Linked DNA regions of Struthio camelus. The protein of the gene in region 2 interacts with the protein of the main gene of each other region in a pairwise test. Links are inferred from orthologs where the notes say so. Each region holds a gene or a part of one and is shown on either strand. Other genes may lie near its edges.

Evidence for each region.
Region 1: the proteins of PDE4DIP (region 2) and SCNM1 interact in binary tests that used the Homo sapiens proteins (3 or more experiments, as listed by UniProt). The two-hybrid records come from large-scale screens. The link is inferred for Struthio camelus from reciprocal best matches to the Homo sapiens genes PDE4DIP and SCNM1.

What each region holds. Positions count from the first base shown.
Region 1 is NC_090971.1:20,105-27,980, reverse strand, and holds SCNM1 (sodium channel modifier 1), read right to left. Parts: upstream 3,014-7,876; 5' UTR 2,885-3,013; coding exon 2,834-2,884; intron 1,861-2,833; coding exon 1,790-1,860; exon of another isoform or gene 1,786-1,789; coding exon of another isoform or gene 1,775-1,785; intron 1,639-1,774; coding exon 1,550-1,638; intron 1,476-1,549; coding exon 1,378-1,475; intron 1,303-1,377; coding exon 1,208-1,302; intron 1,001-1,207; coding exon 828-1,000; intron 683-827; coding exon 550-682; intron 478-549; coding exon 378-477; 3' UTR 276-377; downstream 1-275. Other genes in the region: LYSMD1 (lysM and putative peptidoglycan-binding domain-containing protein 1), read left to right, coding at 4,035-4,166, 5,111-5,376, 5,512-5,668. UniProt on the Homo sapiens protein: As a component of the minor spliceosome, involved in the splicing of U12-type introns in pre-mRNAs. Plays a role in the regulation of primary cilia length and Hedgehog signaling.
Region 2 is NC_090949.1:9,276,639-9,284,393, forward strand, and holds the start of PDE4DIP (myomegalin), read right to left. Parts: upstream 3,002-7,755; 5' UTR 2,777-3,001; coding exon 1,628-2,776; intron 1-1,627. UniProt on the Homo sapiens protein: Functions as an anchor sequestering components of the cAMP-dependent pathway to Golgi and/or centrosomes.

The DNA.
Region 1 (7,876 bases), on a different chromosome or scaffold from region 2:
CACCTGCCAGCAGGCAAAAAAGAGAGCGTGACTTGGGTCAGGGACAGGATGGAATGGGGTGGAGAGGAGCCGAAGCCAGAGTCGAGGTTGACAGTATCCCCTGCTGCTCTCAGCGCTCTGGACACAGTGAGGACACCCCAAAAAACATACAGTGCTGAGCACCTCATGGTGCCTGAATGATGGGATCCCTGAACACCACCCGACTCCTCCCCACGCCACTCACACCAGCACATCCTGGGGCCTCCCCGTAAAGAGATTCCCAACAGCTCAGACACTTCCTTCACCTCCAGCTGCCTCTATTAACATGGAAAGTGGGGAGGGCTGGGTGCATCCCCGGGGCACCATCCCTGCGAGGACCGGCAGGACAGAGAGAGGCCTCAGGCCGGCAGCAACACGGGCGGCTCATCCTCATCGGAGTCAAACTCGGCATTCTCGTCCTTCACCCACTTGCCAGAGTGGTCCTGGATCCAGCCGGCACTGGGGACGGATAGATGGAGAGTGAGATGTGGCTCATTACAGGGGTCCCCACTGACGCAGGGAGTGGCTCACCTCCGGAGCTGCAGGTACCGCTCCAGGGCCTGGCGCCTCTTGGGGTTGAGGGCTTCAGGCTGGCTTGCAGGCGATGGCGAGGCTTTTCCTTTGCCACCTTGCTGGGTCTGGGTGGTAGCTGCCTTTGGTACGTCTGGGAGAATGGAGAGGAGCATGAGCTGGCGAGACCCGCAGAAAAGAGAGAAACCAAGGCAGGGCCAGGGCTGCAAACAAGCCGAAACCCGGTGGGCTTTCTCATTGGCACCAGTGCTGACCCAGAGCCACTGGCCCACTTTTACCTGCTCGCCCGCTACAGCACCCTGGCAGCAGGGCCACTGGGGTGGTGCCCACAGCCTCCTTGATCTTCTGCGAGGGGACTCTGGGCTCTGGAGAGGCCGTGGCAGCGATTCGCACAGGGGCGGTGCTCAGCTCCGTCTGGGTCATACCTGCTCTTGAGCCATTTCCATTCACCCTAGGATGGGAGAGGCGTGACGCCCAGCTCCAGCCATCACCGCCTAAATGTCATCCCACGAGTGCCTGTTACCAGCTGGGGGATGGCAGCCAAGGAAGGGGCATTCCACAGAGTGCGAGTCGGTAATGACAAAGCTGCACAAGGTGGAAAGGTGATGCCCACTCACTTCATTCACCCCTGAGAGGGCAGGAACCCCCAAGATCTTACCCCATCCTCCGGCAGCAGCTGCTGTAGGGAGCAGCTTTCAGCAGAGCGCTCTGGGCTATCCTCCTTGTTCGCACCAGCAAAGGGGCTGGAGAGCCCTGGGGGGAAGGGGCAGAGCTCAAGCCAGTCTGGTCGAGGGTCTAGTGGGGAGGGGAAGGGGCATCTGCACCCACCTGTGTGCCTGCCTCCTCCGCCCGCACGAATTTCTCGTGCTGTCGCTTTTGCACCTCGTTCTCAAGTGAGTGCTTCCTGCCGTAGAAGCTCTGCAGGCCTAGAAGAGAGTGAGAGGGTCGTGGGCCGGCCTGGTGCAGCAGCGGCCTCCCCCTGCCAAGCCTGTGCACTTACTGGCAACGTGTTTCTTGCCAGCCCTGTGGACCGCCAGCACATCCAGAGTATCGAAGATGGGGCGGTGGGCACACACGGTGCAGGTATACCTGTGTAGGGGAGGAGACGCCGTCAGGCTCGCCCATCTCCGCACTCGGAGACTGGCAGAGCAGTCCCTGGTGGCAAGAGAGGTTTGAGTCGTTCCAGCTGCCCAGGCCCACGGAAGCTCAGGGTTTGCCCACCCACATGGATCCCATTCACCTCCCACTCCTCAGCAGCACTGCCTCGTCCTCAGGGATATAGTTGGCGAGCAGGTCCGCGACGCGTCGTTTCTGAGAGGGACAAACAAGGTCACGTTAGCTGCTGCCGGAGGCGGTTTCTGCCTATGATTCACCCTGCACTCTCACCAGTCCAAGTGGGACAGACCAGGGGATCAATCCTCACCCATAGCCCAGCCACACCACGGACCCATCCACCCTTCAGCCAGGAAACCTGGGCACCCGGGGGACCCCTAAAGGGGGCAGCAATGATGAGGAGCCAGCTGGGAAGGGGGTGCAGGTGGGGGAAACGGGGGGGGGGGGTTGAGGTGGGGGAGAGAGGGGGCAGCTAGGGGAGATTTTCAGGGGGAGATTGGAGAACAGCACAAGCTGAGGTGAAGGAAGGGAGTATTTGGGGGGTCAGGTTGGGAGTCAGAGCGAGGGAAGGGAATATTTGGGGGAGAAGGGGTATTTTCAGAGAGAGCTCTGAGGGAAGGGGGTGTGGATAGGGCCATATTTGGCAAGGAAGAATAAGGAGGGGGGTCAGGGCAGGGGGTATTTGAAGGGCTGGTTTGGGGGCAGGAGAGTATTTGTGTGCAGGGGGATTTGAGGGCTGGGAGGGATTTGGGGGCAGGTCTGGGAGAAGTCTGGGAGTAGGGGGATGTTGAAGGGGTCAAGTCAGGACAGAGGATAACTGGGGGGCAGGTCTAGGGTGGAGGGCATTAAGGGGGGGCAGGGGGTAATTGAAGGCAGGAAGAAGGAGGAGAAAGTTAAGGTGGGGAATATTTGGGAACAGGGAGAAGGGGGAAGAGGTCTGGGACTATTTGTAGGGCAGAGGGGTATCTGGGAACAGGGAGAATGGGAGGGGGGCCTGGGGAGGATCTGGGGGGCAGGGAGGACAGGGGGCGGGTCTAGGGGGTCATTGGGGGGCAGGGAGGACGGCGGGCGGGATCCTGAACTGTTGGGGGCCTCGAGGGTGCTGGACCAGGGATCCTAGGTGTGGGAGGCTTGAGCTGTTGGGGGGTCCCGGGGGCACTGGAGGTCCTACCTGCAGCACACCGAGCTGGCCGGGATCGTCTCCCTCCCGCTTGAAGGACATAGCGGCCGCTGGCGCAGCCCGCGGTTACCGTAGGAACCGCCGTCCCCTCCCCACTTCCAGGCCGCCTTTCCCGGCGGGCCACGGGCCGGCGCGGCGACCAACAGGGAAGGGAGAGGGCGGGGTTGGTACTCCCACAGTGCCTTGCGGCAGCAGGACCCTACCCCCGCGCGCACGACATGCTGGGAGCTGTAGTTCTCTACCCCCAAGCTGGGCTGCTAGGGGGAGAGGTCGGGGGGGATGAGACCCGGGGCGGGACAGGGAGGACTATTGGGCGAAGGTGGGGGGGGTTCATGGGGCAGCGCCTAAGGGGGACAAGAAAGGATCCTGGGGGACAGGAACATTTAGGGGGATCAGGGGTCGGCGGTGGCCCTTGATGGGGGCAGAAAGGGCCCCTGGTGGGGGGCAGGAACCCTTGGAGGAGGCAGGACCCTGGGGGCAGGGACCTTGGGGGTCACAGAGGGACATGGGGAATGAATGAGGGCCCTGACGGGGAGTAGGTGCCCTGGAGGGCAAGGAGGACCCTTGGGGAGGAGTCCTGGGCGGGGCAGGGAGCACCCAGAGGGAGCAGAGAGGACCCTTTGGGGGGCGGGACCCTGGGGGGGGACAGAGACCCTAGGGGAATAAGGAGGGGCGGGGGGGTGCAGAAAGCCCCTGGGGGGGCAGCCCCACGGCAGGGATGGTCCCATGTGGGGGGCACAGGCTGAGGCCAGGGCTGCGAGGGGACGCCCGACTGCAGGCCATGGCGTGGGGGGGAACACCCCCGCTGCCCTCTGCCCCCGAGACTACGTCTCCCAGAGACCTTCGCGAGGGCCGGCCGGGCCTGGCATCTCCCTACCCAGTCCGCAGCCAGACTGGGTTTACTGGAGGCGGGGGGGGGGCGGGCCTGGCAGGCTGGTAGCAGTACTGAGGGGGGGCCGGAGAGGCGGCCAAAGGCCCCCCCCCGCCCTTAGCATCACCCCCACGGGCGGCACGCCAGAACGCCTGGGCCCTCCGGGAAGTGGGGGTCCCGTCCCTCCGAGCCCCAGTGTAGGGGTATCGGGGTGCAGGGTGGCCCCCGGGAGTGGGTTGGGTGGGTGGAGTGTTAACATGAGCCCCCCCGGCATGTGCCAGGGCGTCGGCAGGGGCCAGGGGTGAGTGGGGCCGTCCCGCCATGGCGGCACCCCTGGGGCGGGAGGTGGTGGGGGACGGTGGTGGGCCAGGGCCGGGGGGGCTGCTGGGCCGCGAGCATCGCCTGGAGCCCGGGGACACGCTGGCAGGCCTGGCGCTGCGCTATGGCGTCACGGTGAGCGGGGCTGGAGGCTGCTGGGGTGCAGGGGGCAGCCATGGGGCAGGGGGGCTGCTGGGGGATTGCTGGGGGCTGCCACGGGGCAGGGGGGCTGCTGGAGGGTTGCTGGGGGGCTAGGAGCTGCCATGGGGCAGGGGGCTGCTGGGGGGGACTGGACAGCTGGGGCAGGGGGGGACCAGGGGCTGCTGGGGCACTGGGGGCTGCCATGGGGCAGGACATCCAGACTATGGGATCTGGGGGCTGCTGTGGGGCAGGGGGAGCCTGGGGCAGGGTCCTGGGGCTATCCGCAGGGCCCAGGGACAGGATGCTGGGGTCAGAGGATGAGGCTGGCCAGGGGATGTGGGGGCCCCATTCCCATCCCCACCCTATCCCTGTCCCCATCCCTGTCCACCCTGTCCCCATCCCATCCCCATCCTGTCCCTATCGCTGTCCCTGTCCCCATACTTGTCCCATCCCATCCCATCCCATCTTTGTCCCCATCCCATCCCTGTCCAATCCCATCCCATCCCTCATCCCTGTCCCATTTCTATTCCATCTCATCCGTGTCCCATCCTATCCGCATGTCTGTCCTCATCCTGTCCCATTTCTGTCCCATCCCTGTCCCCATCCAATACTATCCCCATCCCTCTCCCTCTCCCTGTGCCTGTCCCAATTCCATCCCCATCCCTGTCCCCATCCCTGTTCCTGTCCGGATCCCATGTCATCCCTGTCCCATGCCTGTCCCATCCCATCCCCATCCTTGTCCCCATCCCCATCCCTGTTCCATCCTTATCACTATCCCTGTCCCATCCCTGTCCCCATCCTTGTCCTTATCCTATATTGTCCCCATCCCTGTCCCATCCCTGTCCCGACCCCATCTCATCCTGTCCCATCCCTGGCCCTGGCCCATCCCCAGCCCATCCCTATCCCCATCCCCATCCCGTCTCATCTGATCCCCACAGATGGAGCAGATCAAGCGTGCCAACCGCCTCTACACCTCTGACACCATCTTCCTCAAGCCGACACTCCTCATCCCCAGGCGGCTCGGCCCCGAGGAGGAGGAAAAGGAGGAGGAGGAGGAAGGAGATGCGGGCCCAGGGGCCGTCCTGGTCAGCCCCGCCACATCCCGCCATGAGCTCTCGGCTGCCGATTTCCTCCGGCAGATCGACGCTGAGATCTGCCTCTCCAAGGCTGCAGCGACCCGCCGGCTCTGCGAGAGCAACACAAGGTGAGTGCCATCCCTTGCCCCGACTTTTGGGGCAAAACCCAAGGGTTTTGGAGGGTGCGTTCAGCCCAAGGATGGGTGATTTCGGTGGGTGCCCACAGTCACCCTGTGTTGCCACCCTGCTGTCTTCCCCCACAGCAGCGTCGCTGAGGCCGAAGGCACCCAGGCACCTGACACCAGGGCCCACCCAGCACCTCAGGGTGCCCGGCATGCCCTGCTCGGCCCCCGGCCCCTCACCAGGACGCCCCGGGTGGCTGCCCTGCGCGACACCGAGGATGAGATCTTCACACTGTGATGGGGCACCCTGGAGACGCCCTGACGGCTCATAGACACCTCCCCCACCACCCAGCCCTGGGTGCCTTGGTTCACAGCCAGGGGGCTGGGGGCACTGGGAGGTACTGGGAGGTGCTGAGGCAAGACCATGCAGGGCCAGATTTACTAGCTGACATTTTTCCTCTGACTATATTTATTTGTATATTTTTGTTCTTGGGGTTTTTGGGGGGGGAGCAGCACCTGGATCTCGGCGGGGTTGGGGCCTTCTGGGGATTGAGATGGGGTCAGTCACCCCCTTTGCCTCCCCTCTTCCCAAGAGCCTGTAAATAAAATGGAGCACTGTCACCTGGCTCTGCCTGCTCTGCCACCTCCCCCGGGGACATGGTCACCCCCTTGAGGATACAGTTATCCTCCTGGGGACATGGTCACAGCCCTGGGGACATCAGCACTCCTCTGGGGATGTGGCCACCCCTGGGGATAAGGTCACCCCACCCCCTGGGGATATGTCACCCCTGGGGACATGTCATAGCCCTGGGGATGTGGTCACCCCCTGGAGACATGGTCATTCCCTTGGGGACACAGTCATTCCTCTGGGGACACAGTCACCCCCCTGGGGACATGGTCATTCCCTTGGGGACACAATCATCTCCCTGGGGACACAGTCACCCCCCCCCCCCGCCAGGGACATGGTCACAGCCCTGGGGATGAAGTCACACCCCCAGGGACACAATCAGTCCTCTGGGGACACCATCACCCCCCAGTGGCATGGTCGCAGCCTTGGGGACATAGTCACCTCCCAGGGACATGGTCACCTTGCCAGGGATGTGGTTATTCCCCTGGGGACATGGTCACCCCAATGACATGGTCACAGACCTGGAGACACAGTCTCTCCCCCAGGGACACGGTCATCCCCGGATGACACCCCCGAGGGACCCAGGTGTCCTGTCCCCACCACTGCTCTGTGCCACCAGGTGTTGCCCTGCAGCCACACCACAGGGATCTCTGGACTCCCTAGCCCCCCCAGGATGTCCCCAAGGACCCTCTCCCTCAGAGACACCCTGTCCCCAAGGAGGCCCCAGTGTCACCCTGTCCCTCAGCCTCTCCAGGATGTCCACAGAATCACCCTTGTCCCCAAGGACCTCCAGGGTCAACGCATCACCCAGGGCCCCTGGAATGTCCCCAGGGCTGCCACATCCCCAAGGACCACTGGAATGTCCCCAGGGCCAGCCCATCCCGCAGGCATCCCAGCCCCCAGTGGTTCCAGTTCTCCCAGTAGCTCCTAGTCCCCAATGGGACACAGCCCCAGTACACACACATGTCCACACACAGATACACGTGCATTCACATGTGCAGGCACAGCCATGCACATACACACAACCATGCACACATGCTCATGTACCTACACATACACATGCCTGTGCAACCACACCTGCGCATACACATACATTTATGCAGGCACAAATATGCACGCACAGGCACAGCTGCACGTGCAAACACACGCACATGCACACAAATAGGCATGCACAAACACACATGCTCACACCTGGGCAGGCACAAGTATGCATGCACACCTGTACCTATGCACACACACCTGCAAGCACTCATACACAGACACATGCACACACAGACATGCATGCACACACGTGGTTACACACAGATGCATGGACACACACACAGACATGCACACAGCCACCAGCGCAGGAAAGGCCACCTGGTCCCCACCCAGCACCCAACACAATATAGTGCCAAGGTGAGTCCTAGTCCCAACGCGCTGCATGGGTGTGTGTGTGGGTCCTTGCACATGTGCGTGCCTGCATTTGCATGCATGTTCACATGCTGCATGTGTATCTGCCCATGTGTGTTTCTATCCATGCATTTTTACAGGTGTTTGTGCAGGCGTGCGTGCATGCCGTACACATTTGCATGCATGTGCATGCATATGTGTACATGCCTGCACATGAGTGTATGTTTCCATTTGGATGCATATGTATGTGTGCACGTGCTGGTGTGTTAGCATGTGTGTGTATTTGCACACGTATATTTTCACATCTGCTTTTGCATGCATGTGTTCCCGTGCAAACGTGTATGGCCTGGCACAGGCTCATACGAGCCTGTAGAGCCTGGCAGGATCCTATAGGAGCCTGTAGAGCCCTGCACAGGCCCATACGAGCCCATGAAGCCTGGCACAGCCCCACAGAAGCACAGAAAGCATAGCACCAGCCCCTGCAAG
Region 2 (7,755 bases):
AATCACTGGAGAGCAGCACCTGGCTTCTAGAAAGAGTAATGTTTATACAGAAACAGAAAAGAAAAAAAAAAAAAAATCATTTACACAAGAACCATTTAGCTGACTAGCAGCATCTGACTTTCCACTAAAACCATCCGAACACTCAAGCGCTTTCCCCTTCTGCCAAACCCAGCGCTGAGGTCACCAGTTGCTGATGGGTAGTTGCGATGGCAAGAAATGGGAAGTAAAGAATTCAGCAGGATGAATTCCCTGCCAGGACTGCTGTACTGCAGAGGCCAGAGTTCAAAGAAACTCCTCTAAGCAATTGCACGATACAAGGATGGCAAGGCATGACACAAAGCCAAGCTACTCATGTGTCACACTGATCACTGTCTGCTCTGTTAAGAGAGACTCTATTTTCATGCTGAAAATACGTCCCTAGGAGCAAAAATGAGCAGCAATTGACAGAATACAGCAGCAGCATCTATGTCCTGCTTCACATCTTCAATCGCAGGCTACAAACGCAAGGCCTTAGTGCACCGCGTGAAAATTAATGTTGCTGTTTTCCATTCCTCCGTAATGTCATTTCTCGAGCAGACTATTATGAAAGGAGCGCACAGCTCTGGAAAACACCCGAGCAGATGGGAGAGTAAGCAGCACTCACCGAATAGGCAGTGAGGCTCGGTACAGCTACAGCTGCCATAGTAATAAACAAGCATTTTTTCTACTCCCTGAGGCTACCTAGAGTATTAGGCAGCACTAAGGCTGCTAATGTGAATGCAATTAGGCTGACATGGATATTCCTGAATTAAAGCTGACTGAGACCTTCATTAAGGGAAGTGACAGAGGAGTTAACAAGTTCAGCTTTTTGACTGCATACTAATGAAGATTTTATTAAAGCCAGCAGAGCAGAGACAATCCAGCACTACAAAAATCTAAGCAGGACTAAAATCTAAGCAGATAACAGTACCAAGGCATCTTGTGAAAGCAAGAGAGCTCACCGCCTCTCAGCAATAACTGCCATTAATTGACGAATCTTTTTAAAGGATCAAAAAAATAAAACCAATTATCTAGAATACCAGCCCTAAAGTAATCCACTAGCACAAATCCACCTGCAAAGAGAACACCTTCTCCTTAGGGCAGACACCACAGATCACTGCACAGACCTGCCTGTTGGGCTGGTTTGAGGCAAGGCTCTGAAGACAGACATGCCTGACACTGTGCCATTACCAAGGCACAAAGAAAAAACGTTTGCGGGAAAACACATGCCCAGCAGCTTAAAACGCTCCCTTTAGTTGTGGGTAAAATCCAAATCAACTGTTTAAAGAGACAGCTGAAGTGAAACTGGCATTTTCTCAGCAGAAAATGAGAAAGCATGCAAAGACCTCAGACCCAGCCAGAACCCTGCATTCACAGGGAGATATGACTGACGGAAAGATTAATTTCCCAGAAAACAACAAGGAACCATATCACAGGAGAGCGACAGGGAGAGGGACCGCACCTAAAAAGGACTGAGCTGCCTATTCTTAGCCCGTGGTTCAGTGACACGTGGCTATCCGTATTATCTCAACGCGGAGGAATTCCTAATGGACTCAGAGTCGAGCTGCAGGGACGCTGCTCAATTGAAAGGCTACACAATGACCTCTACCTGTACCCGAAGCGGCATATAATCCTCACAGAGATCGTCCCACAGCTCTTGCAGGTCAGAGATCTCCAAGGAAAGACCCAAATGGGCTCTGGAAAGAGATTTCCTGTCTGCATTCAGGAAACCAGAACCAGCATACACTAAGCCAGCAGGAGCACTTCCATCTGCCAAGTCACGGCTGGGTTTGGGAGGTGGCAAGCTGGATTTCACAGGAATAGGTAGTCTGCTGCCTCTGGGACTATGAATGGGTTTGTAGTCTAAAGCCTTGATCAAGCTGAGGGCCAACTCCAGCCTATTCCCACTCAGCGAAGAGTTCGGGGTCATGCGGTCCTCTGCAAAATCGTCACATTTCCCGCTCCCTTTCACCCCCTTATCTGCATCTTCGTCTTTCTGCTGCGGAGGGCTAGCCTCCACAGTTGTGTCCAGCGACTCAATGGAGGACGCAGGCGTGCCTTCCTCCATGCTCTCCCCATCCACTGGCCCTCTGGCACCAGATGACTCTGCAGTGTCACACACAGATGATTCTTCATTGCCCATGCTTGCTGACCACCGGCTGGACGGCCCGCAGGAGATACTTCTGGCCACCTTCCGCGGCACTTTGCAAATCGCTTCATAGTCAGCATCGGCCACTCGCAGCGTGGCACAGCCACGGCAGCGCCGCGGGCGGTTACTCGCTCCCTCTGAAGCGTGGCAGCTGTGTGGTTCCAGGCTGTGCTCTTCATGATCCGTCCAGCATTCGTACCCAGAATAAGCAAAGTCCTCCTGAAGGAGGGCAGCATACCGAACATCGGGCAGGTTAGAAAGGTCCACGGTCCCATCCCCAGTTCTGTCATCTGGGCCAGAGTCATCATTGTTCCTCCGGTACATGCTTGCAATGCAGAACTTGAGGCGGTCCTTCTCCAGCAGCAGCTTCTGCAGGCGCTCGATGGAGAGGGCTTCGATGCGGGCGATGACCGTGTCGAACCTGTAGATGCGGTCCAGCATGAAGGCACACTTGCTGCAAGCGAACTCGGCTTTGCCATCCCGGCACAGCTCCCTGCCCAGGACGTGGGAGAGCAGCACCTGCAGGTTGAGCTTGGCCGTGGTGTGGAAGATCCATCGCCGCTGGTTGCCGCACAGCTCCCGGGCGCAAATCCGGCAGGTTTCCTTCATCTTCCCTCCTGACCAGCACCCCCAACTACTCCTGGGGGTTCTCAGGAGACCTTCCCCAGGCCTCCACCGCTCCCTCAGCGCATCGCCCAGGCCACGAGCCCCTAACACACCTCACCCCAGCTCCCCCCGCCTGGGGTCACACCCTGGGACTCCCAGGGACTCCTCGCACTGCAGGAACTTGCCCTTCTACAACACCCCCAGCCCAGCCCAGCCCCTCTCCGGGGATGCCCCCTCTCCTTCCTCACGGCCCCCCTCAGCCCAGGGCTCCCCCTGCTCCTCACGGGCCCCCTCGCCTCGGCCAGGCCCCTCACCCCGGATTTTGCCCCGCTCCTCGCGGGCCCCCCTTACCGCGACCTGCCCCCTCGCCCCGGGGCTCCCCCCCCGTCTCCTCGCAGCCCCCCTCGTCCCGGCCCTACGGCCCCCGCCACTCCCGCTCCCGCCTCCGCCTCGCCGACGATGCTCCTGCCACGGCGGCGGCGCCCGGCTTGTGGCTCAGATTTCAAGATGGCGGCGGGCGGCAGCTCCGCGCGTGCGCGGCGGCCGCGGCGCCTGCCGGGATTTGTAGTCGCCCCGGCCAGGCGGGCCCGCATGCGCAGTAGCCTTCCTCCCCCCCGCCCCCCCGCCCCAGCACCCGTCGGGTGGGCCCAGCGCCGGGGTTGCCCCACGTCGCGGCCCCACGGCCGGCGCCAGCCCCGAGGCCGGGGCCCTGCCCCGCACCCCCGGCCGGGTCGTGCCGTCCCGGAGCTCCCGCGGCCGGCGGGGATGGCCGTGACCCCTGGGGGCCCTGGCTCCCCCCCCCGCCCCGGGCGCGCTGCTGCCGTCGGGTGTGTTCACACCCGGGTTTTACCCTGCGGGCGGGCTGCCCTGCCCCGGGCGCGCTCGAGGGCCGGGCTGCTGCCGCCTCGTGGCCGCGGGGAGGCCGGGGCAGGCGGCGAAGCAGCCCCCGAAGGGGACGGGGGCAGTAAGGGGGAGCCCGCCGCCCTGCCGGCCCACCCACCTGCGCCTGGGCGGCCGCCGGCCCCTCCGGCCGCCGCCGCGGGTCGCGCCGCTCGGCCGACAGCAGCTCCACGAGCTGGTTGCTGGCCGCCAGCTCCCGGCTCAGCTCCTCGATCCTCCTGCGAGGGAAGGCAACGGCGGGGCAGGCTCAGGCGCGAGGCCGGCCCCGCGCAGCGCCGGGGTGCCGGGGGGCACGGGCTGGCCACGCAGGGTGGGGGGGCCTGGGCCACCTACCTGTCCTTGTGGGCCAGAGCGCTGCTGTCAGCCGCTTGCCCGCTTTCCTCCTTCCTCCTCGCCGCCTCCTTCAGCTTCGCGGCCAGCTCCTGGCACCGCTCCGTCTCGGCTTTGGCCAGCGCCGTGGCCTTCTCCGCCTCGCTCCTGGCCAGCCTAGCTTCCTGCAGGGTAGCGGGAAGTGAGGCCGGAGGGACCGCGGCTCCCCTGCCCCGCCGCTGGGACGTCCCCGGTCCCCTCCCAGCCCTCGTCGTCCTCCGACGAGGGGGTGCCGGCGGCCAGCCGCGCGCCCGGCCGTCCGGCGCTCACCTCCTGCAGGAGCTGGATCTTGTTCTCCAGGAGCTCGTAGACGTGCTCCGACTCCCGCTGCCTCTCCTCGTACTGCTGCCGGAGCGCTGCCTCGCTGCGGTTCGTCTGGTTCTCCGCGGCCACCCTGCAAGGCACGGCATGGCACGGCATGGCCCCCGCTGTGCCAGGGGCTCCCCAGCCCCGCACCGTCCCTTCTCTGGGAGAGGGACGGGAGACCTCGGGAAGGGACCTGCACCGCGGGGACCGGTCAAGCGGGACCCAGCATGGGGTTCATGCAAAGCCCTGGGCCCTGCATGCCCGTCCCCACCAGCCAGGGCTCTGCTCTTCCCGCGGGGCACACCAGGCTTGCAAAAGCCCCAACCCCAAACCGCCTGGGATGGGAGAGCCGAGCCGCCCCAGCTGCTCCAGCATCTCCAGCCTGCCCACCCCTACCCCAGCCCGCCAGTGGGCACCGGCTGCTTTTCTTGCAAGAGCACCCAGGCATGGTGTATTTTAAACCCGGAAAGCTACAGTCCTGGGACACTGACTCATCTGGCGTCGTTAGGTCCCGCTTGGAGCTTAGGCAGCACGTGGCATGTTTTGCAACACCAAAGCTGTCTCTGCACCTCTCCAAAAGGAGGGAAATGCCCCCAGCCGCCCGGTGCCCAGCAGAGCCCTGCTGTGCGGACAGCGAGGTACCTGCGCCGCGGCCCCCGGAGCGCAGCGCTCGCCCTCCCTCAGCAAACAGGTGCTGCCCTTTATTTTTGGCTCGCCAACAGCCGTGCCGGGTTACGCTGCAGCGGGCATGTAAGAGGAGCCCCGCGGGCCGCCCTGCCCTCCCAGCAGGACACATGGCCCCTTTGCCAATCCCCACCGCTGCCCGCAGCCCTGGCTCGCTCTGGGGACTGACCGCCCAGCGCCACGACACCTGGTGTCCCTAGTGCCCATCTGCAAGCGCCACCGGCGCTGCGGACCCCGCACGTCCCCGCGCGAGCCTCGGCCAGCCCCACCTACCATGTCTTATCCAGGGCCTGCTGCTTCTCCTGGAGCTCCCGTTTCAGGCTCTCCACCTCCACCTTCAGCTCGATGTTCTGCAGGGGAGGCCGGGGGCGGTGAGCATGGCACCGGGGTGCTCTGCAGGGCAGCCCCACGCCGCGCCGGGGACCCAGGAGCCGCTGCCCTGGCCCGCAGCGCCGCGGGGAGGGTGGGAGCCGCCGCGGCTGCTCCGGCTTTTCGGGCTGTTGCTCCAGCTGGCTCTGGCTGCTGGCGCCGCGCCGCCGAGCCCGGCGGCGCGGGTGCTATTTTAGCCTGCCCCGCGCAGCTTTGGCAGGCGCCGGGACGGGATGTACCCGCTCCAGCTGTCTGCCCGTACCCGGCGCCCAGCCCCGGCGCCCGCCTGCCCCGCGCCCCTCCGCAGCCCTGCGGCTACGGAGAGGGCAACTGTGCCCTCGGCCACACGCCCCCCCCCCGCCACTGCCGGACGGCTCTCCTAGCACCTGGGGTTATTTATCAGCTCGGCTCCCTGCTGCCCGCGGCACAGGCCGGCAGCCCCATTTCGGCGCCGCCGCGCTTCTCCTCCCCGAGCCAGGGAGCGTTCGAGAAGCCCAGGCGGCCAGAGGGCCCGGGAGGCCCGTGCTCGGCGCCGGCACGGGGCAACCGGCCCAGCCCCAACGTCAGTGCCTTCCCCACGGGAGCTACAGCAGGAGCCGACAGGGCGTTTCGCTGCCGGCGGGTCCGCGTCTGGCTTTCCCATCGCTCTTCCCTCTCCGGTCAAAGAAAGCAAGGGGGCTGTGGAAGTCCCACGAGACGGCTCACAGCACCCCAAAGCAGGACGTGAGACGCCCACCGCCGGCATGCTCGCTCCCCGCTTCCCGTCCACACCCCGGCTCTGCCGCTGCACCCCGACGCCCTCCCCGGCGCCCCGACCCGCTCCGGCACCCCGTGCCCCTCCCGGCACAGGGACAACCCGCCGTGCCCGCCGGCCCGCTCACCCGCCGGTACACCTCGTCCCGGCTGCCCTCGCCCTTCTGCTGCACGCGCTCCTCCAGGAAATAGATGCGCAGCTTGAGGCTGAAATTCTCCTTTTTCAGGTCGTTGAGGTGCTGCGAGAGCGTGCGGTAGCCGTTAGCCATGGCGGGCGCTCCATGGGGGGGGGCATCCCCGCCCGCCCCCCTCGCCCGGCGCCCCCGGCCCGGCCCGGCGGGACGAGGCTCTGGGGACGCGGCCGCCCGGCGCCCGCCCTGCCTGCTCCCAGCTCCCAGCTCCCGCCGGGTGGCCGCAGCCGCCCCGCCGCTTCCCTTTTTTTTTTTCCCCCCCTCTCTCTCCGGGAGCTATTTGAGGAATCCCTGGCGGAGAGGGGACAGGCGAGCGGTGAAACCCGAGCCCCCCGGGGCGGCCCCCCCCCCCCAACCCGGGCGCGCGGCAGCCGGCGGCGGGAGGGAGCGCGGCCGTCCCCTCCCCGGCCCCCCCGGGGGTCCCCGGCCACCCCGCGGCGAGGAAGGGAGCGGGAGGGGAGCCGCCCTCGCCTCCTGGGCGGCGGGGACGAGCCGGGCGGCACGCGGCTGACCTGCTCGAAGTCCCGCAGCGAAGTCTGCGTCTGCGCGGGGGGGCCCGTCGCCAGGTCGCGGAGGAGAGAGCTGTGCGCCGAGGGGCCGCGCGGCGGGCCGGGGCCGAGCGGGGGGCCAGCGGCCGGCGGCGGCTCGGCGGCCTCGTCGCGCTCGCCCGCGGCCCCCGGCGGGGCATCGCCCGGGGACGCTGGCGGGGAGCGAGGCGGGCGGCCGTCAGAGGAGCCGCTGCACGCGCCGCCCCCCCCCCGCCGCCCTGCTCCGGGGTGTGCGCCGGCGGGGACGCGGGCTTTTGGGGCGCCCGCCCCTCGCTCGCCCTCCGCGGGGCAGGGCGACGGCGGGCGCGGGGACGGGGGGGGAGGCTGGCGGGGCGCCCCTTACCCGCCATGCGGCTGGCTCCGGGCGGCGCGGCCGGCCGCTCGCCGCTGCAGGGGTCCCTGCGGAGAGAGAGAGGAGCGCAGGGCCCGCGGTCGGGCAGGGGGCGCGCGGCCGGGCACCCGTGGGTGCCACCGGGGCTGCGCGAGCCGGTGGTGGGCGCAGGGCCGCGCGTGCGTGCCTGCAGCCCCCGGAGGCGTGCGCTCTCAGCGCGGCGCCACGAGGCCCTCGGGGCCGCGCAGACGGCGGAGCCCCCCCCCTCGGAAGCACTTTAGCCCCATTAGCAGCCCTGACCCCCCCGCCCCCTGCAGCGGGGCCACCTGAGCTCCGGCAATGAAATCCCCCCCTGGGGCGGGGGGTCACGGCGGGGCACGGGGGGCTTTCCGCGCCCCAGCCCTGCGCCTAGACACCCGGCTCATTTTCCCTTCCCCGCTCCGTCTTCCACCAGCGCGTCCCGAGCAGGTTTCCAGCTTTGAGTCACGGAGGTGCAGAGACCGAGGACACTCATCACACTGTTCTGCCCCT